Caenorhabditis elegans: one gene and its partners. The protein of the gene in region 3 interacts with the protein of the main gene of each other region in a pairwise test. Each region holds a gene or a part of one and is shown on either strand. Other genes may lie near its edges. The genes, in order: frm-1, txbp-3 and F35A5.8.

Region 1 (8,111 bases), on a different chromosome or scaffold from region 3:
TTTTTCGGAACTTCTGGGCTTTCGACAGCCATTAGACGTTTCTTGTTTCCGCTGTCAGATTTTGATTCCACAGATGTGATGATCGTTTTGTCTTGCTTTGAAGAATACTGTTGCGATTTGTTGGAGTGTGAAAAAGTTGAAGGTTCAAGATCATCATCACGATGGGTAGCGTCAAGTTCTCCGGTAAACTGAGAAGTCGATTCAGGGTAACCAGATAATGTTTGAGAAGTTTTCTTAGTGAAAAATCCACCAAATCGGCTCCTTTTTTCTTGGCCTTCGAAAGACGCGTGATCTGTTTTATTGGAAGATGGAGGAATTTTCTGGTTGTTCTTTTTGCCTTTTCCTTTTTTCTCAACGATTCTTGTGGTTACCACTGTTGTTGGCGTGGCAGCTTCATTAGTAGACCTTGTCATTTCTTCAGTAGTATCAGTAAGATTTCCACTGCGATCAACACTAGCCGACAGACGAACTCTTCTATCAGCATCAGGAGATTCTCGACGAACTTTTGTTGACACAACTTGTTCCCGCTGAGAAATCGTTGCATTCAAATTCGATGAAGACTGACCATCTCGTCCATCTCTATTTGTTACAGCTAGTGGATGAACATGCGTAATTAAACGATATTGGGGAGTATCAGGTTTGTGAATCGAATCCCCATGATGATACCGGCGTGTATACTGCTGAATATTGGCTGGCTGAACTTCTCTGCTTAACTCAGTTCGATGAATTGGGTCACTAGCCAAAGAAGCTGAGAAGTAGTAATCCTTTGGATCTATTTGTTCCTTGATGTCCTCCTTTCCTGGATGACTCAATCGCTTTGCAAGATTCCGCCGACTAGCTCCAGAATGTCTAACATCGACATAGAATCTAATCGGTTGTTGATCCATTTCTCCATCAGGCTGCAAGTTGTCAACATGACTAACTCCATTTCGAGGGGTATAGTTTCCGAAACCGTAAGGCAGTTCTGGACGTTGTTGGCGTCGAGGACTCAGTCGATCATAGTGGCCTTCGTGATAAACATGCACAATTCTTTCAATCGGAATCTGCGGGAGCTCACTGTACGGATAAGTATTTGGAATCGGCTCATTTGGGTCTACAGGTTCATGGAAAGAAACTAGACGAACACTATCCCTAGACGCTTGAGAACTTCTTGCGTCCGACGCCCGACCAAACAGATTTCTGCGGGCACCCGAGTTCGATGGTCCAGTAGCTGAAGTTGAAGCTGTTTGCCTCATCTGAACATGATACTCGCCATGATGTTGTCCTTCAAAATAAACAGGACTAGTTGGACTCGTATATTCGGATGGAGGATAATAGGCGGATGACGGAGTTCTCAACGACGATCTTTCAGACATATAGTAGGCTGCCGACGAGTAGTTAGAGGAATCATCGCCGCGTGGTGAATACGACAACTCGTGAGGACTTTGCTGGTGATGACCAGAAGTGGAAACAACAAGAAGAGTCGAAGGCCTAGAATACTTGGCAAATGTGGCAGTTGATACCGCGTCATCGTCTTGTCTCGATGATGTGTAGGACTTCGGTGTCAAAGCGCGTCGGTATCTCTGAAAATATAGGAAGGTCAGAGATCGATACACACAAATAGCCACTACCAGACGCAAACTAAACCGAGGTTTTGTGGTGCACAACTAAACTACAAACTACAAAAAAGCTAGACGATCAAGACAGGAAGAACCTGGATGTCCGAATAGCCTCAAAACAGAAGAGAGCAAATATACACACACGATGACGATGATGTTGACTTCTCCGATACTATGTTACTACAACGAGGTCTCCAGAAGACCTTATGACGATGACGATGGCGATTAGCAGGAAACTCTCTAACGGGAGTGCGGAGAGAGAGAGGGGTTAGAGATAGAGAAAGAAACAATTGAATTTTGGAGAGAAAACACCATCGGGCACATAATTGAACGAGGGGAGCTATCTTAACCCCCTCTCCACGCCGTTACAATCATAATGAACTGTGGTAGTGTCATTTAGCTGGAAACTGTATAGGTATGCATATATTTAAAACTGAAAACTCTCGAATTTTCAGAATTACAACAAAATGAGAGAAAAGTTCACGCAGAAATAGAAGAGGGGACATTGCTATATATTGAAAATTGTACAGTTCTTTAGAAGAATAAGGGGAAGAACTATGAAGAAAAAAGTTGACGTTTTAGCGGAAAAGTTTGAAAATTTTTGAGTAGAAAGAAGAAACATGTGAATTTTGTGTTTGTGCTTGAGGGGTTTTCGGTGGTTTTTCTCCAAAATTTGAAAAGCAGTTATTGTGATGTGAGCGATAGAAAACACAAAAAAGCGCTCTAAAAAGCGTTTCATGCAAAATAATATTAGAACAAAAACATAGAAAAGCACACTGGAAACCAATTAAACTAACCTCAAATTGGCGCTGCTCCAATTCCGAATCCGTGAGATTGAGTGTTTGAAGTTTCTGATTCTCGGCTGCTGTAAATTCATTAATAATGTATTTCAACTATTGTAATCAAAAACTCACTTGCTATTGGTTGAGACATTGCAGATGGCGCTCTGTCCACTGTCGATGGTTTATCAAACATCTGCGAGGCAATCTTTGTCTGGAATTGAGTGCGTCCTTGATAGCGGAACCGCTGGGAGCCAAAGTTGAAGAATGATTTATGTGTCTTGTCTTCAGGTTGGATCAGTCTGAAATTAAAGATTTTATTTAATTTTAAGAAATAATTTTTTCAGACCCGTCGAAATTAAATTTAAACGACAGAGATAATTATTTAATCGTAATTTTGGAAAAGCATGTTCGACAATTCAACAAAACAAAAATCAATTTCAGTTAAACAGTTGAAAAAAAATTGATCCATCGAGCAGGAATTCGAAAATTAGAACAAAAATTATTTTTCGACTCCTGCAAGATGAAAAATCCGAAATTTTTAGATAATTTTAGGCAATCTTCACGTATTTTTTAAACTTCTCTTTTAGAAATTCAGTTTTTGAGATAAGTTATTCTCAAAAATTACCTAAAGAAAGTGTGATGTTCGACTGCACACTTCCAAGTCCTCTTTGCGGCGACATGGTTTGGCAACTTGAAGTACAATGTCTTCTCATTCTTCTCGACAGTCCCTGCCTTGAGCTTTATCGAGAAGTAAGTACGACGATATCCGATTTTGATAATATTCTGCCAGCTGAAGGAATGCGTCTTTTGCTCGTCTTGGTAAATGTTTATTCCGGCGGCACCGATTCCAACGTCCACAGGCTTCTTGTCCTTATCCTGAAAGATATTTTATAATTATAAAAACAAAGCTAATTTGGGCATTTTCGAATAGTTTTTACTCCTTTACAGGTGGAACAGAGTCAAAACATTTTGTGCTTTAAGTGACAGAAAACCCTAATGACCGAATATGACAAATTTTCATTCAAATTTAATAATAATTCGATTCAAACATCCAATGCGTTGACTGGCTAAATTTACCAGTTTTCCTGATTTTCTTTTTATTTTTAAGTTAAAACACCGTTTTTCAATTTGCCAAACACTTTTCAGTGAATAAAATTTGATCACCCTCAAGAAATTGGCGGAAATTTCAAAATTAGCTTAAAAATCACCAAGCTGATAAATTGAAAGAGAATACTTAACAAATTAATTATTTTAGACAAAAGTAAATACTACTATTTTTTTCATAAACCACTAAAAATATTTCTTCAAAATTAAGGACTTGAAGAATGAGCACTAAAAGAAGAAAATGATAGAAGTTTAGATGTTAATTTAAGAAAAAATATTTTCCTAGTGGAGTACTCGAGCAGGAACCTTTTTTTGTCGAAAAACATACGGAGATTGCCTTGAAAAGGTGGATTCCGTAGAGAGCCAGGTGCTTGCAGTGATCCAAAAATTGATTTTCAGCTTCAGAAGGCGTCTGTCCGCGCATCTCTCTGTGCAAATCGACAATCTTCTTGTATGTTTCCGGATTCGCTTGTGCTGATGGCACCAGCTTGGACGCCACAATGAACTGCTCGTAGGCATCCGTCATCTCTGCTGGAGCATCACCGAACTCGATTTGAGCGACAAACGATCCGAGAAGAGAATGTGTGTCGGCAGTAGCTGGAAGACGTCCGGTGAGGAGATCACGTCTGAGTTGAAGGAAGACGTAGTAGCGAGCGTGATCGTCGACGATCGTTGTAGGTGTGGTCGGGTAGAATTTGACCTCGAACGAGAATTCCCAAGGAAGACCTGCAAAATTTGACAGTTGGTTGAAAAATTGATTTAAAAAAGAAAATGAAATAGGTGGCCGCGGGAAACCTCTTACACGGCCATGTGTTGATTTACGCAGTTTTTGGTTGAAAATTGTTCGAGATTTCGATGTTTTTCAGACTAATTTTTTTTTTTGAAACAAAAATTCCAACTTTCAATATTTTCCGCTTTCGCTCTATAAAAAATCAGTAAACTTTTAAAAAAGACTCGATTTCAAAATTAAAATTATCAGATTTTTCGATTTTCTTTGAAATACACAGAAGATTTGAGAAAACTTTGCGAAAAATGTAGAAAAACTATTTTTCTTCGAGGAATACACGAGCTGCGTAAATCGACACGTGGCCGCGGGTTAGAGTTTTTTATTATATTTTTAAGGATAATATTCCTAGATTCTTGTAATTCATCAGGGAATTTACAAAAAAAAAGGAAAATTAATACAACTTTGGACATGAAATCGATTCAATTTCTTTTCCGAATAAGAGAAATATTTTTATTTACTTGAAACAGCTTTCCAAAAATTTCAAGGCAGTTTTTTTTTTTTGAAAAAGCGGGGGAAATTAGCTTTTTGTGAAGAAAATCCACATTTTTAACCAAAATTTTCTTTTTTTTCTCATTTTTACCTTTAATCTGTTTCGCAATATTCTTATCATTATATAGCCAATGTCGTGTTCCCTCATCTTTGTCGTAGAAGCACAGCGAGAAGTATTCGCGTTCCTCAATCGATAGATCTCGTGTCACTTGTCGGAAAAGTGCTTCTCCTTCCGAGTTTTTCTGTAAAAATTTAGAATTTAGCAGTTTTTCCGGTGAAATTCTTCAAAAACTTACATTAACCTCAAACTCCTTTTGAACTCCGTCGGGAAGAAGAACTTTTGCCAACTGCATTTTCGAATCTCGTGGCTGCTGGCTAGTCGTTGGGTGTTTCTGGTCTCCGGGATCTCTATCGGTACCCATTTGCTCTGAAATGTGGAGGAAATTAATAAAAATTAGAAAAAAAACTGCAACTTTCATTGAAAATAGAAGTTTTAAAAGTTTATAGAGCAAAAGAAAGTGTTAAAATTTGAATTGCCCGGCCGACAGGGAGGAGGGGGGGGAGTAATGCAAACGCGCTCTATTCGAAATGCCACATTTTGTTCTGTTTTTCTGCGAAAAAAAAAGACAGAAGGGATGAATTGGTGTTGTTGGGAGAAAAAGTAGCCAATGCCCGGCATAAAAAACGCAATAAATTCTGGGAGGCATAGTAGAGAAGGACAATAAAGAAAAATTACACCTTTTCTCCGGTACCCGCAGATTGTGGTGAGAAAACATGAAATATTAGGATCATTTGAAGGTGGAAATGAAAAAAGAAAGAGTATTGGAGAAAAACAGTGGAAGAGTTAACTAAATTTACATTCAAAGTTGAAGAATACTTTTTTTTTACTAGAAATAAATACGAATTCAAAATTTTGGCTTTGACGATTTTAATGGGAATTTATAACGTGAATTTTTACGTTTTTATCTTCTGAAAAACAAAAACAAATTTATAAATGCCAGAGAACGTGAAAAAGTGGAAAATGTGGATTCGCAGCGCGAATAACACTAATTTTTGAGAAATGAAGATTTCGTGTCGAAAGTTTGCAGGGAATAAGTTAATTTTTTAGCTTTTTAATTACTTTTTAATTAAAATACAATAAATGGTAGGAAAATAGAAAAAAATAGAGGAAAACATCGAAAAAACGGACAAAATTTGTCTACAGTAAACTTAAAGGCGCATAGTTATGTTCGAGTGGGTCTCGCCGCGACGAAAACGTTTATGGTGGAAATTTTTATTTTTTTCAGGAATTTATTAGTTTTTAACGATTTTCCTTGATTTTCGTTAGCTTTTCAATAAGTAATTCGTATTTTTTAGTTCAGGAAAAAATAGGAAAACATCGAGAAAAAATTAAAGTGATGATTACAAAAATTGCTCACGAAATCCCGAATAAATAGAAAATTGCTACCACAATTTTTTATCGTGGCGAGACCCAACCGAATACATTCTTGAGGCGTTTATTACACGTTTCTAAAAAGCTTGTGAACTTGATAAAGTGAAATCACGATTAGTATTTTTAATTAGAAGTTTTCGATAGAGTAATTTTCTCATTGTCAGTCATGTTGGTCGCTACAAGACCCAAAATACACATTATTGGCAAATATCACAATAAAAAATTGTTCACATAGTTTCAAAAGAATTCCAATATATCAAAACAGCAAAAAATAATGCTTACGGAGAGCTTCAATTGATAGCAGAGGTGCACACACAACTGTTGCTATTTCTGTGCTATTTGTTGCTCTCCTCTCTTATTCTCGCCACCGCCATCAGGATGAAGAAGACGAAACCAACAGGCGTTGTGTTGGCCACAAAACAGCAGAAAAAAAAAACAAAAACGTTTAGTTTATTACACTGTTTCATTCTATTCTTTTCATCTCAGTCAATCACAGTAGTGGGAATTCGGAGGCAGAAAAGATGAAGGCGAGAGAGGTGTTGCAATGAGACAATTTTTCGCAATAGCAAAGAAGAGAGAGAACAAACAGTTTTTATTGTTGAACCAGCTTGTAGATTGACAATGTTGCCGATGAGAGAATTATTGGAGGCAATTAATTTTTTGGAAAGTTTCCTTCCGCTGTTTCACAGACCTAGTTATGACTAGCTTTAGAGACAGTCAACATCGCCCCTCCTTGTTTGACCTTTGGAAATTAAAAATATTTGGCAATAGATAACAACTGCCAAATCTCAAAAATTGAGGAAATTATCGAATTATCGAAAATTTGAACGGCCCAGTTGTAATTGCCACCAACCACTGCTCCGAACTTCAAACTACCCAATGCAAAACCGTTACCAGAAGTGAAAAATGCCCAGCATTGCCAAAACAAAATTTCAAAACATCTCCAAACAGATGGTTCCTCTTGGTTCTGACACTATGCCCTTGGTCACCGTATGTCCGTCCCTCACAAAGAGCATAAAAATTGAGAAATAGTGCAAGACCTTCCAGATGCGCAGACATTTGTTGGCGCCCTCACTCCTTCATTCATCCAATCTATCGACCAAGGGCACCAGCGCTCAACGACACACACGGAAAACAGTGACAATGATGGAAAAAAGCGGACAGAATGACTGGTAGTTTCCAATATTTGGGCGGAGTTTGAGGGTAATTTTTGCTAGCGACGAAACGAGAGAATAGTGGAGTAAGGGAGAAAGAGAGATGCAGGAAGAGAAGGCCAAAAGGATTAGTGAACGTTCTTTTTTGTTCGAAAAATGTGTAGAAATTCAGTAGTGGAGAGGAAAATAAAGGAGAAAGCATGAGTCACAACATTCGAAACTTAATCTTTGGTTATTTGTGTTAATATTTATCAACTATACATGTTGCGATAGACGATTTCATTTTTGACTAGTTGCGAAAATTCTCGACTAGGGAGAGACCAAAGTCAAGCACAACTAAAGTATTTCAAGTGTATATTGATATTAACTCAGACAGCTTCATGTCATTGAAACACCACTTACAACGTTCCACGTGTACTCTAATTAGTGTCGGATATAAGTTTTACTGCGATAAGTAAATGTTATCAGAAATGTGGACTCACTATCAGAACCGCGCCAGGCCGGGACTTACCACTGTTTGCCTAGATGTCTTCTCAAGTTTCACTAAAAAGGCGTGAAAAGTTAGTCTACTCCGTTCCCGTTTTTCCCAAGAACCAGTCACAAACTAGTTCTAGACCACCCATCAATTTCTAAGATGCATATTTACATAAACTACTCACCGCTTCCTAAGGTTTCCGTACTCTCCATTGTGGAGATTCTTGCCAAAATGAATCAGGGGACAATTCTCGAATTTCAGAGAATATCCTGTTTAGTTAAAGAAGGAAT
Region 2 (6,812 bases), on a different chromosome or scaffold from region 3:
AGATCGTGATGATATTCATTTCACGCCGGAACTTGTATTTTCAAATACAATTCGATCGCTTGTTCATGCTCAGGAAATGGAAGGAAAACGAAATGAAAGTAAATCAGATGATGAGGGAAAGTCCGATAAGAGTTTGTCATTTGTCATTGAGAAGCAGGAAGAGTTTATTTATTCAGTAATAAGATTTACTGATTTGATATCTAATTATTTTCAATCATTCAGAGAGCAAATCCAATCGAGACGGCTAGAATGGCTCGTAGGAATCGTAGAAGTAAAGGATCGTCGTCGAAGAAGTGAAACTGAAGTCTTACTTTTCTTAAGTGAATATTTATTCGGAGGCAAGATAAAAGAATAAATGGTCAAATCACAGATTTTTTGTTGTTGAAACACAAAACAATTGAAAGCTATTTTGGAATGAAGTGAAGTGAACAACCCAAAGTTATACGACTAAAATTCTATTGACTGAAATTGAAACTATTTTTTTTAGATTTTTTAAAATCCGATAATTCGCATGATTTTTTTAAGTGAAGAAAGACTGAGAACAATATCTTAATGGGAATTTTAGACAAAAAAAATCAATTTTTCGCTTGCTCGTCTTCTTGTTTCTTCTTTTCTCTATCTGCTTTCCACGAGGATCCGTCCAATTTTATAGTTTCTAACCAATCATCACAAATTAATTGTTCATTTGGATCTTTAACCATTCCAGTCAATGCCATCAGAGCTTCTCCGTCTTTTACATCAAATCCTTCGCCCAAAAATGCATCGATTCGAGCACGAATTGCCACGAATTCCCCATTTTTCTTGAACTCTGAGAATCGTCCAGATTTGTCGTTTAGGATGAATCCATCTCCATATTTTTTGATGAATCTCGGGAAAAATATCTCTCCGGGCTCTTTTCCTGCTTTCGATGTGCTTCCTGTTTCAGTATTTGTTTCCAAATCGTAGAATACAAGTCGTTGTCTGAAAAAAAAAACAAAATGTTTTTATTTCGAATACAGATTCCGAAAAAACTATTAACACTTGTTAAAAATTACAAAAACTCACTTTGAGAACATATTCATTGGAAAATCGTTGATTGAAGCCACCAAAGTCTTGTCATCAAGTGCACAAATTCGTGAAAAAGCTTCTCCAGGCTTTGATTCAGCAACAACATCCCAACCGATTGGAGTGTCCAAGTGTGTTCTGAAATTATAGATGTAAAAATAAAATATAAAAAGTTGCTTGAAGGAAACATTTTTAATTTAAAGAAGGAGTATCGTCAAAGGGGAAATTGTTTTAAAATGTAGTATTTGTACTCAAACTTCCAATTATTGCAGAAGAAAAACGGAAAAATCCGTTAACATTCAGCATTTAGCCGTTGAAATCGACGAAAGTGGCTGAAAGTGGCTGAATTTGAATTTCGCGCGCAAATGAAAAGCAACCACGCAACTTTTAGGTCATATTCGTAAACAAAATATTGATTTAAATGTAATTTTTTCGAACTTTAATTCGCTTTTCTTTCTCAAAAAGTTCAAGAAAACTGGGAAGAAGAAATTGTATTGAGTATTTTTTCAAAGGACAATACCAGAACAAATAAAAATTCGAAAGATCGTCGTGGCCTAGGATTTCTCTAGTTAATTTTTGAAGATTTTTTCGACTTAAAATGCTGAATCTAAACGGATTTTTCCCGTTTTTGTTTTGTAATATTCTTAAGTTTGAGCACGAATACTACATTTTAAAACAATTTTCCCATTGACGATACTCCTTCTTTAAATGATTTATTTTAATTCTTACGTCATGATAAAATTGTTTCGATGTCCTGGTTCAGCTTGCTTCACAATATACATATCGCCACTATCAGTGATTGTCATGGAATTTACTAAAAAAAAATATATTTTAAAAAATGTTTTATACCAGAAAAACTTACATAATCCTTCGATAAACGACTCATGAACAACATCTCCATCAAGTGAAATTACTCTTAAAATTGTCGTTCGATCAGAGAATTCAGCTGATGTGTAGATTATCTGTAAATTTGAATAATTAATAACTTAAGTGAAAATAATTTATTGTACCCTGTCTTTGTACGAAATTACTTGTGGAAATGGGGCCATTTTCTTGAAGAATTTCTTGTCTTCGTGCAGAGTTCGGAGAGTTTTTCCGTTGAATTTATATAAACCGCCTTTTGAAGCTACCTGAAAAATGAATAATTTTTAATTGTTGTTGTTTAATTATAATATACCCATATATTGTTGTCTTGGTCGTAAACAACGTTATAAGGAACTCTTGCCCCTCTTGGCTCCAAATGAAGAAGCATTTCATCAAATCGTTGATAATCACTGGTGTCTGACGGTTCTTGGGTCATTTTTATGCTGAAAATTGAAAATTTATTAGATAATTTATCATTATATTTAGCAAAAGAAATGAGAGTCAACGATTAACTAAAAATTTAAGAGTTTTGCGCAAGAGAAGTGTCTAAAAATCAATAAAAAATTTCACCATACCCAGCTCGCTGCGAGACCTCAATCAATAATTTGAATGCACTCCTTTAAAACCACAGTAATCGGCGAAGTGAATTTGAATATTATTAGATTGAACAACATTTTCAAAGTGAATTCACATTTAAAATAAAGTGAAAATAAAGAAGATTTTGGAGTTAAACATGGTTTAAAAGTGGGAAAAATGTTTTAATTTGAACAAAAATGGTTTTTGAAAATAAATCGATTTCTCAAACATATATTGTGGAAATTGGAAAATCTACAGTACCTAGCATTAAAAAACTTCTTTTCCGCTACTGATTTTAGATTTTTAGATATTCTTTTTTCTTGACTATATTGTTTTACATTGAAATAATTCATTATTAATTATTATAATATCTTTAAAAATATGCCTGCAAATAGAAACATGCAAGACTGCAAGATTTGGAAACGTTAAATAAAAAATTGAGGGAAAAAGATTATTCAATACAAGTAAAACCAACTTTCCATGGCCGCAAAAAGCGATGTTTGGTCTTATTTTTTCAATTTCTCTTCCACGGCCACCAATTCAATTATTCTCTTATCGGCAACACTTGTACAAGGTCGCCATCTCAATGACAATCCGAACGGAATTGAGTAAAAATGTATGCAAATTCGGCCATGAGAGTAGGAAGATGAGATAGTGTAAGAAAAATGGAGACCAGAGGGGGTTGAAGACAATGAGTCACACCTCATGTTGTATGTGTGCGTTTCATCTTTGTCCGTGTTCCGACACATTTAAACATTAGTTTTTGAACAAAAAACCTCATTTTCTTTTCAATTTCACTTTTAAATACTTTCCAATTTTCAGATCAAAAAAAAATAATACAATGACAGCATATGGTCATATGCCAGGAGAAGCAATTGAATGTTTGTCAATTGCTGTTGAATTGCACAAACAAGAAGTTATTGATGCTCATGGACAAGTCACAATTCGAGTTGGATTTAAAATTGGTGGAGGAATTGATCAAGATCCAACAAAAGCGCCATTCAAATATCCGGATTCTGGAGTTTATATCACAAACGTCGAATCAGGATCGCCGGCGGATGTGGCTGGATTGAGAAAGCATGATAAGATTCTGCAGGTAATTATGAAATTTTTAAGTTTTCTTTTCCCAGAGACAAATGATCAAACTTTCTTGCCAACATATACATTGTTAATTAAGAGTACTGTAAACTTACTGCCGAATTTTCATCGATCTTGCATAGTTTTTCTCATGAGTTTTTGGAAATTTTTGTGTTGTTATATTTCAAATAAATAAATATACTTTCATCAAAAAACCATGCAAAATCGATGAAAATTCAGCAGAAATGAGAATTTGAAATTACAGTACTCTTCTTAGGCAATATTTTCTCATTCAACATAAATTTGCGTGAATTAAACTGAAGTGAATTAAACATTTGGCCAATTAAAAAATTTTTGGTAGACAAACTCAAGAACGTTCGAACATTAGCTTAACATAAGTTTCCAAAAAATTGAAAACTCCTCAAAATTTTTCTAGATGATATTGAGAACATCCTCTAACAAACGGACACCCCAACTAAATAATATTCTCTATTTTCAGGTCAATGGAGCAGATTTCACAATGATGACTCATGATCGAGCTGTGAAGTTTATCAAACAATCAAAAGTACTTCATATGCTTGTTGCAAGAGCCGATCTTCCTCCTGTCAGTCTTCATTAACTCAATCTCATTTGTTCCGTTCACATTCAAACTTGCCCTTTTCAATTATCTCTCAAACTCAATTCTGCGCATATATTTTGATATTTATCGGGTTCAAAAATAAAAAATTTTACTTTTTTGACGACACAATGCATCATTTGACAAGAAAAATTGGTCATTCGTGTTTGGAAAAATGAACTGAAAATTTCATAATTGCCTGTAAATTTTTATCATACAAAAATGAATTATTTCAATGTAAAAAATAAAGTAAAACAAAAGAAATTATAAATCTGAAATCTGTCGCAATAAATTTGTTAAATTAAAACATTTTTTCCACTTTTAAACTAGTTGGGATATTAAAATCTTTGTTGCTTTCACTTTATTTGAATTGTGTATACACTCTGAAAATGTTTTTAAATCTAAATAATGAATTTCAAATTTACTACAAGGATTACTGTAGTTTAAAAGGAACACACGTGATTTCACTTGATGGATTCTTGGAACAAATTCAATTGTGTAAACACAGAAAAAGTGATGTACTAACAAAATGTAGTATTATATGCAAATGAAACTTGTAGTACATACTAAAGTCTTCTCGAATCATCTCGAAAATAATAAAATAGTATTTTTTAAAACTTTTAAAAACTAGAAACATTCAATTTTTATCAGAACTCTGAAATTCAAAATTAATATTATCTTCATCATCGGATGAATCCATAGTTTTCCCTTCTTCTTCATATAATTTCAGCAAAGTTCTCTCTTTTTGTTTTCTTTCTTCCGTCACTTTTTCTAATTTTTCCATTAATTTCGTCATTTGAACTCTGCAAAATCTCGGTTTTTTCTGTTCCTAAAACTTTGAAAAACTAACTCTTCTCTCCTCGAAAAATTGCGATTTTCGTCAATTTCTTCCTGTTTTTCTGCAATCAATCGGTCCATTTCTACAATTTCATTTTGAAAGTCTTTGACTCTTGACTCGAAATTGGAATATCTAAAAAATACTCAATTATTACTTTTCCACCGAAAATACCAACTCAATTATTCTTGTTTTTCGAAAAAAAAAACTAACTTTCCAATAAAATTTTGAATTGTCTCCGCATGGCTTCGCACGTTTTCAGATTTTTCCAGCGCCTCCTCTAGTTGAGCTTGTTTCTCCGCAATTCGAGCATCTACTTCGGATAGGTAAAAATCAATTGCATTTTGGGATGAAGCCATTTTGATGTATACTGGATGTGAATGTGCTCATGGAGGAGATTTCTGGGTGCGCTCAATTGGAAAATCCCATGTTTGCTGGCCAGTTCCTGAAATTTTCTAGTACAACTACGAATTGCAGGGTGAAATGAAAATCTTTCCTTGTAAGAGTTTTTACAATCGTTTCATGTACTTTCCAACAGGAATATTAATTTAGAAGAAAAATTTTATAATAACTGAAAGTGGAGGTTGTAAAGTTAATCAAAGTGGAATAATGTACTGCGCAATTTAGAATTCTCGAGTGTGTTTGAAGACAATGAACATTTCATGTTCTTAACTCAAGTTTTTCACTAAAATCAAAATTTGACCGAGATATGCTTGCAAAGTTGATCAATAGATACTATACAGTATGTCGGAAGCATTGCTTCAAACAATCATCCAAAACACTCAAACTGAGTCCATTTTTATTGAGTCGTTCAAAATTCATGATTCAAAAAATTAAAAATGAAAGGAAATCGAGAAGAAGATGTCAGAGTTGTTGATCAGGAAAAAAACAAAAATAGGTAGAGATTGTGAGATTCAGAGACAGAAGTTGAAACATACACACACAGAGAAAAGAACAGATAATGCTACTGTCATTGTATTTTTAGAAAAATAATATTTGAGTTATTTCCCGGCCCATGCGTAAAACTGCTTCCTTTTTTCCATTGATGGTCCAGCTTCTTGGGCAATTGAGTCTTCAAAATAGTGAACTGGTGCCGATGATCGTTTTCCGGCCCATGCGTAAAATCTGGAAAAAATTAAATTAAAAGCTGGAAATTCGCTCGTTCAATTTGTGACTCTGTGAGTTGATGGCGGTCCCCCATCCCGATCACGGTTACCTTCTGATTTTTTTAGCAACAAAGGCGACTAAAGGGAGTACAGGGAAAATATGGGGCGCCCGTTGTTCGCCCCCATCGAGCGCCACTGTCCGTTATTCCCCCTCCATTTTATGGCCCTGGGACAATAATCATAAAAACTCTAATAAAAAAACTATACAACAATGTTTTTAACTTATTTCTGCAAGCTACCATCCTCAAATGTTTATCCAAAAGCTCCAGTCAAAAAATAGATATATACATAAGTCAACGTTACTTTCATTTGTGCACCTCTCTGTGCTCAATTTCTTTGTTCGTTTGCTTGATGCGACAAATTGGATCTATTTTTCATTTGGAATTAGTTTTTTTTTGAAAAACACTACAGTAACTCCCAACTTTCGCCAATTTTTGATCGTTGGTTTTAAGTGGTTTTCCAGGGTCGGAAAGTTTGGATTTTGAATTCTATTCTAGTTTTCAAACTGAATTTTAAATGAAAAGGAAGTGGACCTTTTTGTCTACCTTTTATGTTCGATTCGAGTAAACTGAAAACTTTTAGAAAAACAAAAAGATTGACATATTGTGCTGTCAATTTCTTGAAATGCTGAATT
Region 3 (9,133 bases):
AAAAGTTGAGTTGTCAGTAGTAGCTTGGCTTCGAATACTCTCTAACAAAAGCAGCAATGTTCCGCTCTGCATTTTCAATTTTTGCTATTGTCGCCCTGGTGAGATTTCTTTTTTTTTTCATTCCATTTTATTTATAAATTCCCCGCCATTTTCAGGCACTTTCGGCACCAACTCTTAGAGAAAAGCGTCAGGCTTGCTCATGCGCCCCAGTTCAGCAGCAACCATCGTGCTGCCAACAATCCACCATCAATGTCCAGGTTCAGTACACTCAGGTCCAACAAGCTCCAGCTCAAGACCCATGTGCTTGCCAGCCACAGCAGCAGCAGCCTGCGTGCAACTGTGCTCCAGTTCAGCAAGATCCATGTGCTTGCCAGCCACAACAGCAGCAGCCGGCTTGTAACTGTGCTCCAGTTCAACAAGATCCATGCGCCTGCCAGCAACAGCAACCATCCTGCGATTGCGCTCCAGTTCAACAGCAACCAGCCTGTGACTGCCAGGTAGGCTGTTAATGTAAGAGCGACGAATAAAAGTAACCCATCTTTGCAGCCACAACAACAACCAGCCTGTGATTGTGCTCCAGTTGCTCAACAACCAGCTTGTGACTGCCAACAAAACCCATCATGTGTGACCTGCATCCAAATCGAGATCCGTCAGCAACAAGCTCAACAGCCAGCTTGCGATTGTGCTCCAGTTCAGCAGAACCCATGTTGCCAACAAGCTCAGGTACAATATATTTGGTAAATGTTGGATGAACTTTTGAAGTTTCAGCCAGCCTGTGATTGCGCTCCAGTCCAACAGCAACCATCTTGCGATTGCGCTCCAGTTCAACAGAACCCATGCTGCCAACAAGCTCAGGTATGGCATTTTGAACAATTTTTTTTAGTCCGGTAATTTCAGCCAGCCTGCGACTGTGCCCCAGTCCAACAGCAACCAGCCTGTGATTGTGCTCCAGTCCAGCAGAACCCATGCTGCCAACAACAGGCTCAGGTAAATCACACTCCAGAGTTTTCCATTAAGTTTGTGAATTACAGTCAACTTGCGACTGTGCCCCAGTTCAACAGAACCCGTGCTGCCAACAAGCTCAGCCAGCTTGTGATTGTGCCCCAGTTGTTCAGCAAAACCCATGCGCTTGCCAACAGGCTCAGGTAAAGACTATTGCTTTTTGACCAGTAAATTAACTATGGATATCTAAACTTCCAGCCATCCTGTGATTGCGCCCAACAAGCTCAGCCAACCTTCCAAGTCCAAGTTCAACAAGCGCAACCAATCAATCAGTGCGTCCCAGCTTGCCAGCCAGCTTGCCAGTCATCGTGCACCGCTTCGTACACCAACCAACAATCCCAACATTCGTCAGCTACTACTTCCTGCGATGCTAACCAATGCGTATGCCAACGCGGATACGTCAAGTGCGCCGAGCAGACCTGCTGTCTTAGATACAGATACACCAACCGCAAGGCAAAGCGATCGATCGCCTAAACGAACTCATTTCTGACCATGTCTTTCTTTTTCGACTTCACGCAAACTATTTGTACATTTCGGTAATATTATTGCCATTACATAAAGTAGTTTTATATTATTTCCTTTTACACAATGAGTATATGCAATGAAGATATAAATGAAAAAATGATTAAGAATCATTTCTATGATGTTCAAATTACCAATTTTCGTCTAAATTACAACAAAATCACTGAAAAAGATTTGAGAAAAATGCAATTTTCTTTTAGGAAACTCTATTTGAAGTTTGAAAACCAGAAGATTTTCACAAAGGGTTGGTTCTATCATTATCTAAAACAGCAATCGTAGAAGAGATTTGAGAGTTTTCTTCAAAACTAAACTTTTTATATTGTGTTCAATATTGTTAACGAATTTTTGATCTTTAAATTTCCCATTTATTTTAAATCTAAATAACCTATACAATAATAAGCGCATTTGAGGAGTCAAATAAATAGACACATTTCAATTGAGATCTTCCACAATAAATAAGACACCTTACTAAAACATTTTTGGCACATGAACAAAGTACTAAGACAATAAATTAATGAATGCAGCGTTTCTAGAGCAGCTCAATATAGCTGACAGGCAATTTTCCGCGTTTTCCTCCTTTTTCAGCCATCACATATTCCGCATCCATTCCAGGAAGGCGATACACGATGAGAATCTGCAACAAGAGCAGACGTAATTTCACACAATATTTGGTTTCAATAGGGGTCCTCCTCTCAAGACTCACATCATTCTGGGTGACGCTGATCTCTTGTGGCAGCACTGCATCGTAGTCCATGATCACTTTGGCTTGCTTGGTTCCCAAGTCATCCGGCAGTAGGCCACTTGGCTGGAAAATCAGTAATTTGAAGAGATGTTCGTGATGGGAAATAATTGAAAATCACTGGAACGGAAACAACGCTTTCCACGAAGTTCTTCCCCAACTAACCTTGGCCGCCGCTATTGCCGCCGCCATAGTCCTTCCGTTTGGCGGGTCGCCACTATTGTTCACCAGTATTGCCGAGCTTCCGCGAAATGACATGGTGCTGAAAGCAATTTCCTTAAATCTGGGGACAATGAAAAAAGTTTGGCAGAATAGAGAAACATTTATTTGAGTTCAAATCGCGTTTCGTCGTTGTGTCACACATACTAAGACATTCACACAGCAACTGTGACTAGAAGAAGCCGATCAACGGCGGTTGGGGGGAGAATTGAGAGTAAGAAGAAAAAAATTAAACATACTAATTATGCTTATCGATTGGTGGAAATGACCGGGAGCTGTTAAAATATGAAATACATTACAATATAATACATACAGAATACATTGAAAATTTAAGAATATCGAAAACTTGAGCTAATATTGAATTTCTTGGCGAATTTGAATGACACTGGATTACTCAGAAGGAAGTAATGTTAAGTAAAAAGAAAGAGAAAGAGGAGAGAGAAAAAATAATATATAATCAAAATCGATTAAATTTGAAATAAATAGGGAGTCAAGATCACAATCACGAGTGGCAAACATAAAATCAAAGTTCGGGAGTCACTCGTCGTGTCGGTTTCCGTAGTACATCGGTGAATCGGCGAGAGAACTGAAATATTTGCATGACACGTACATTCACTACAACGAAATAAAAAAAGCAGTGGCTACCAAATGAATTGCTAGCGGGAGACGCATGCGACATGAAAACTAATGAGCCTAATTTTGAAAGAGAGACTTACCCGCTCAATTCCCGCTGCAAATCGGCCATGAGTTGATGAGACTGAGCATAGAAAGACATTTGTGCCTCGACAAAATCACGAAGACACTTCAACTGATTGTTCTGAAAATTTTTATACATTTTAAATTGGAAAAATCCCATTTAAAAAACTAACGTGTGCGGTTTGAATTCCTTCTAGCAACAATTTGGTAATCTCTGATTGCTTGTCAAACTCTGCTTGAGCAACACGCACGTCCGCCTCTGCCTGAAACTTGTGAAACGTTTCAAAAGTTTCAAAATATAATGTTTAGATATGTAACTAAAAGTTTATAAAGTACATAGAAACGGGAGGAATAACCAGACAATAATGAAAACCAACAGTGTTACAACATTTCTGAAACAAACCTGCTCAATTGTAAACCCTCCAGAGGTTTTACTATTCGTCTGAAACAGTTACTTTCTTTTTTAGATTTTTATTTTTAGAAAATTAATTTTTCACAAATTAAGAAAAAAATCACTCACCACTGTCTGAAGATCTACAGTTTTTGCTTTCTTGAGTCGGCTTTTACATGCATCCAAATCGAGACGCTTGCTGTTCAGCACTTTTCTTTCTTTCTGAATTAGATATTTTTATTGAAAGCGGAAATATATTTATGGCGCAGCTGGCCTGAGGGCAAGAATAATTTGAAATGCATTTACTAAATTTTTTTAGCAAGAGCTCATGAATAGTGCAGCTTGGAAAAGAGGAGTCTCTCACCTGAATTGTTTTCATGTCGCCTTCCAAGAATCTTCTAATAGGGAGCAAAGTATTTGTGGCCGCTTGTCCACACAATTCCCGTTCCGCTTGCCCAAGTCGGTTTTCCGTTTGAGCCACTTTGAGGAGTGCAGATCCTGAAATTATTGAGTATTATATGTCTTATGAGGAAACAAATTAAATAACTAACCATATGGAGTGGTCTCTCCGAACTGCTCTCCAGCTTCGGTCATCGCTGTTGACAACTGCTCGAGATTATTTTGCCGAATAGCACCATCCTTTTTCAATTCCAATTTTTCATAGAATACTTCTTCCATGCGAACGGCTGCAATAGATAAGTTCATTTCTCAGGTCTTTTTGCAAAACATAATATCTTTTTCGTGAATACTAACTGGGATTTGGCTGCAAATAACCCTCAATTGCAGAGAGGAGACGGCGAGTATGATCTTCTGTCTTGTCGGCTCGCTGTAGAAGGTTCTCAAAGTGGGAGTCCAGTTCGGTGCGCTCTGCTTTCAGGAATGTTTCTTCGGTGAGCTGGAAATTGAATTTTAAATGTATGGGATTTCGAAGGAATTCGTAAAAAAATGACCAACCTGCTTAGCTCTGCTAAAGAATCCTCCAGCATCACTGGCTATCTTTTTGAAGTTAAAATCCATACTGAGTTTTCAACAATCTGAAGTTTATCAAAATTATTCACAAAAGTGCGAGAAAAAACAAAAGAATGGAAGCTGTTCGAACGGATCTGTGAGGGGTGCCCCGACTACGACGGACGAAATTACTGGAAAACGGGGCTGCTGGTAAAGAAGATGGCGGTGAGGAGGGGAGGGCCCCTAGCGGAAAATCGATGCGAGACTGCGCGAGTCGTGAAGGGAAAGGAAACGAAAAATGACGGAACAAGTGGGAAAGGAGAGAATTTTTGAAAAAGAAGCGAAAATGGGGGGAAAGATGCGTGCAACAAAACGCAAGAGGTCGTTCATCTTTCTCAACATCCGTCCTCCAATTTTTTTGGATTTCGTTTTTTTTTTCTGGTAAAATGATGGCATGTTACACTTTTGAAGAGAAGTTTGTTACGAGCAATCATATTTTTAAAAAAAGTGCACATATTTTTTATTATTGAGTTTGAGTGCTTTGAATAGGAGCTTGATAAAGTATCACATTGATTTTTGGAGTCATGCAGTGGATGTAAACATTTTAACTGTTATTTTTAAGCAACCCAATAGTATTTTTCTGAAAAACTTACAAAAAAAGCTTAAAATATATTTTCTAATAATAATAATAATAAGAAGAAGAATAATGAATGAAAATATAACGACTCTTATGGGAAATCGTATTTTCTAAACACAATAAACAATAACAATGAGCTCGTGGTGAGTAATTGAATAAAGTGAAGACAAAAGAAGCGCACGCACGAGAAACGCGTCAGCAGCCACTGCATTGACACACCCAATGTGTGGGTCTTGTCTCTGAATTGCAATGAGTACACAAAAAGAAAGACATACGGATGAGACACAAGAAAAGTAACACACTTTTCGTTTTCAAAATAGAGAAAAAACAACGAACATTTGTCTAGTTTTGGAGAATAAGAATATCCGATTTGATTGTCTTCTTCTTTTTGAAATACTGCTGAAAAATTAGTGTAAAAATGGTCTTAAAAAAGGTTTTTTTCGGTAGGGCAAAAACATAACAGTATTTTTTTAGTAAAACAAATAGCCCAAAAATATAAGTTTTTTTAAAATAACATTACCCGAAAGATTAATGGTGATTTTATTCGGAAATGGAAATAAGACTAGACGTCTAAATGGATTACTGATATAGAATTTGTTATATATTTTTCAGAGAAAAGTCTAATGGTGATGTGTTAAAAAGTTTTTTGCAAGTGTGAAACGTAATAAATTATACTACATACATTAATACACTTGGTGAGCTGTAATTATGATAACCTTTTTAGAAAGATGTGTATTTAAAATTTTGTTAAACATGATTGCATTACTTTTTTGAAATTTATTAAAGAAAATTAAATCCTCAACGACAACAAAAAACGTTTTATGCATTATTCATTCAAATTGGTAAGAAATAATAAGATGAGCACAGACACAAACTTGAGACTAAAAATAACGTCGCTTTGATTAAAAAATACGACGAGCAAAAAGAGAAAGTGTTGCGTGAATAAAACAAGGAACAACAAACTATTCATTTCAAAACACACCACTGTTCAAAATTAAAATTTGACACTGCAAAACATTCAATTTTGCAATTGGTAGTGTTGTTGGGAGAGCAAATAATAGACATCATGTTCAATGGAAAAAAAAGAGTTTAATTGTAAGCTAATTTTGTTTTGTTTTGATTATTATCTTTGTTCTTGAAGTATAGTAGCAACAAATATCGTAAGATTCCAAGACGTTGCGGGAGGTTGAAGTCGCTTAGAAAGCTTTTTTTCTAAACCTCATAGTTTCATCGTAAAATTTTTTAAAAATGTTAGTCAGATATCCAATCAGTCAACCCCTATTATGAACACCACAAAAAAACACGGTTTTTTTTATAGTGTCCCTTAAATTTTTACATTTCAGGTTAAAATGGACATTTTATAATACCGTATATTCCTGTTTAATTTTGCTTTTGTTATTAACTTTCCAGTCGAAATTTCTAATCCAAAAATAGCATTTTAATTTATTTCTCACACGAATTTACATAACTTGCATTCATTACCAATAAAGAAAAGCGATAACACCCGCTGTGTTTTTAGCTTCTCGGTCGATTACAGTACTTAGAAATCTAAAAAAAACATTAGAAACACTAATTGGGAAACTTTTCCATCAGCAATTCTCCATTTCCGTCCCAAATTGGTAAACACGATTTTTTACAAGCGCCGATGTTTGATCTAATGAGTCAATTTTTGCAGCCAACGAACTCGGTTGCTTCAGATGTTCAAATACGTGTTAACTTGCATGTGCCACGAAATATAAAAACGAAAATGGTTTGAACAGCTTGTGTGGGAAAGTCGTCGAAAACGCGTCGGGATAGCATCATTCAGCCAGTTGTGTCAAAACGATGAACGCCGTCTCGCTTGCTCTCTTCCTTATTCTTGCCGTTTCCATGATACAGGTATTATTGAAATGTGCAACTTTTACAGGAACTTGTCTATGTTTTAGGGTCTGACTCTGGTTATCAAGAAAAACCGCAAGTACAACAATCCACCATTCTGCTTCGCCTACAACAGAGAGTACAATGATAATGGTAAATTTTTATATTAGTTTAAGGTATCTAAATCAATTTTGTTCAGATGTGACTTCCTCCTGCTCCGGTTATCAATTTGATTGCTTTGATTCAGCTGGATCCCAGATTGGAGTAAGTAAAATTTTCAAAGATCATTTTTTAAGCGATTTTTTTTCAGGACGTCAAGACCTTCGCCAGTTCGGATTGCGAATCTATGTCGGTGTTCCGTTCGTTCTCCGATGCCGACTTCCAGAAGCGTCTCGATGAAGCCAGCAAATACGCTACAACCATTGAAGCATCCGGCAACTGAACTTGGAATCTGGACGAACAAATATCTCGCTTTTTATATAATCCCGCGTATTTTCGTATGTTTTTTGTTGATACCTGTGTGTGTATCCAGTGTATTAATATGAGTTTTGTGGAATAAATAATCAACTGTTATTATAATTTCAAGAAAAGTATTATTTTAAGGTTGGGATTCTTGAGGTTCGAGCATTATTTAAAGTCTGCCGCTTGAGTGACCTTTAGAAAACCTCTCTGGTTGCTCTTGAGATTGAAATTTTGTTCACATACACTTATAATGATTAAAAATAATTGAATATCTTTCAAAAACAGTATAGTATAGTGGCTTTAGTAGCTGAGTATATAGTGCTGAGTATAGTGGCTTTAGTAGCTTTTAATTGATAACCCTTTATCAGGAGACAAATAAATCTGAAGGAAAAAAAAGGAACCCGTTTCAGGTTAGTTCATATTCGTATTTACTTTGAGCTGTGACGTATTATAATTTTTTTATTTGTTGATTGTTGACCTTCAATCTTTGGTTCGTATCCCATTTATGTGTGGGAATATTTATTCAATTCTGCCACATCAACTCACATTTTCTCATTAATCAATAGCCTCCCTTTCTTTCTGACCCTTTTTTTTAGTTTACTGTATATTTTTTTGATCTGGCATTTTTGTTTTCAGGTACTTCGCAACAGTCAGGTAATGCTTCACAAAACTTCTTATTATCCGATTTTATGCTCCTTGGTAATTTGTTTGCTCAAAAAAACAATACAATTTTTGTAGTTAATATTTCACAATTTTAAACTTAAATAAATACTCTACTGTTTCAGAGTTATCACGTTGGAGATTGTATACTCGAGACAGCAGCTAGAGCATCTGGAAAATGAACTTGGAACCGAGTACTTCATGTTATTTTCTATCATCTTCGTCGTGCTTCCTGTGTGGCTTGTTGTCTTTGAAACCAATTTTTATCGTGTATTTATTGTAAATACTTTCATAAAAATATATCGTTATAATTGAAATTAATGACAACAAAACTTGAATAATTTTTCGAAAGTAACCTGAATTTCTTTGTTATTCCACGTTATGTTGTCAGATAAATCAATGGCGGAGAGAAAACGTTTCTGTTGTTCGATGTTTTCCCTCATTTCTTTCTCTCAAGAGTGAAGACGGCACGGTGTAAACTAGAAGCCTGATGCTCAATGCATTCGTGTGGGCGCCCTTATGATCTCATGCGAAGGCTGTTATAGACCCAGAAGCGCTTGTTTTGTTCGAACTTTTTTTTGTTAATAAAATCAACTGTTTCAAAGGAACAATTGTTATTTTTTTTTGGAGTGTTTAGAATGATTTTTTTTCGAATAATTTTTTAAATCTTTCTTATTAGTAACACATTTTACTTTGTGTGCATTTTCAAGAAATTGCAGAATTAATAAATTTTGCATAATTTATTTTCAAATAGTTTATTAAGACTCAACCGATCTTCGACAAAAACTTGTTTTGTTTCCGGTTAAAATTTTGAAAAAAAAAGTTTTCAAATCTTTATTTCATTGACGCAAAAAACAACAACGAGTTCACCAAATTTTTCAGAGAAATATTCATCAAATTTTCAGTCTTGATTGTTAACAATGTAATGCCAATTAGTATTTAAAACTTGAAAATGTGATTTTTCACATTATACTCTGTTGATTTCTTTCCAATCAATTGT

What was found.
Region 1: the proteins of F35A5.8 (region 3) and frm-1 interact in a two-hybrid assay, tested with the Caenorhabditis elegans proteins (one large-scale study listed by BioGRID).
Region 2: the proteins of F35A5.8 (region 3) and txbp-3 interact in a two-hybrid assay, tested with the Caenorhabditis elegans proteins (one large-scale study listed by BioGRID).

The regions. Positions count from the first base shown.
Region 1 is NC_003279.8:14,892,181-14,900,291, forward strand, and holds the start of frm-1 (Moesin/ezrin/radixin homolog 1), read right to left. Parts: upstream 5,183-8,111; coding exon 5,057-5,182; intron 5,003-5,056; coding exon 4,852-5,002; intron 4,605-4,851; exon of another isoform or gene 4,383-4,604; intron 4,211-4,382; coding exon 3,813-4,210; intron 3,257-3,812; coding exon 3,006-3,256; intron 2,680-3,005; coding exon 2,513-2,679; intron 2,464-2,512; coding exon 2,396-2,463; intron 1,755-2,395; exon of another isoform or gene 1,650-1,754; intron 1,563-1,649; coding exon 1-1,562.
Region 2 is NC_003281.10:5,043,656-5,050,467, reverse strand, and holds txbp-3 (Tax1-binding protein 3 homolog), read left to right. Parts: upstream 1-3,306; 5' UTR 3,307-3,325; coding exon 3,326-3,580; intron 3,581-4,060; coding exon 4,061-4,180; 3' UTR 4,181-4,292; downstream 4,293-6,812. Other genes in the region: C45G9.15 (DUF851 domain-containing protein), read left to right, coding at 1-175, 223-297; vtip-1 (Vha Twelve Interacting Protein), read right to left, coding at 576-960, 1,045-1,182, 1,774-1,858, 1,907-2,006, 2,055-2,174, 2,222-2,344; C45G9.14 (uncharacterized protein), read right to left, coding at 4,815-4,980, 5,028-5,147, 5,226-5,371; nlp-43 (Neuropeptide-Like Protein), read right to left, coding at 6,014-6,137. UniProt on the Caenorhabditis elegans protein: May regulate a number of protein-protein interactions by competing for PDZ domain binding sites.
Region 3 is NC_003284.9:3,798,167-3,807,299, forward strand, and holds F35A5.8 (SH3 domain-containing GRB2-like protein B1), read right to left. Parts: upstream 5,299-9,133; 5' UTR 5,171-5,298; intron 4,726-5,170; exon of another isoform or gene 4,614-4,725; intron 4,606-4,613; exon of another isoform or gene 4,604-4,605; 5' UTR 4,587-4,603; coding exon 4,524-4,586; intron 4,465-4,523; coding exon 4,323-4,464; intron 4,256-4,322; coding exon 4,121-4,255; intron 4,068-4,120; coding exon 3,934-4,067; intron 3,792-3,933; coding exon 3,699-3,791; intron 3,621-3,698; coding exon 3,582-3,620; intron 3,442-3,581; coding exon 3,352-3,441; intron 3,300-3,351; coding exon 3,199-3,299; intron 3,069-3,198; coding exon of another isoform or gene 3,020-3,068; exon of another isoform or gene 2,566-3,019; intron 2,526-2,565; coding exon 2,429-2,525; intron 2,330-2,428; coding exon 2,228-2,329; intron 2,159-2,227; coding exon 2,054-2,158; 3' UTR 1,879-2,053; downstream 1-1,878. Other genes in the region: abu-10 (Activated in Blocked Unfolded protein response), read left to right, coding at 57-98, 156-497, 547-723, 769-855, 898-987, 1,032-1,145, 1,201-1,476; F35A5.2 (uncharacterized protein), read left to right, coding at 6,979-7,032, 7,080-7,164, 7,211-7,275, 7,322-7,453.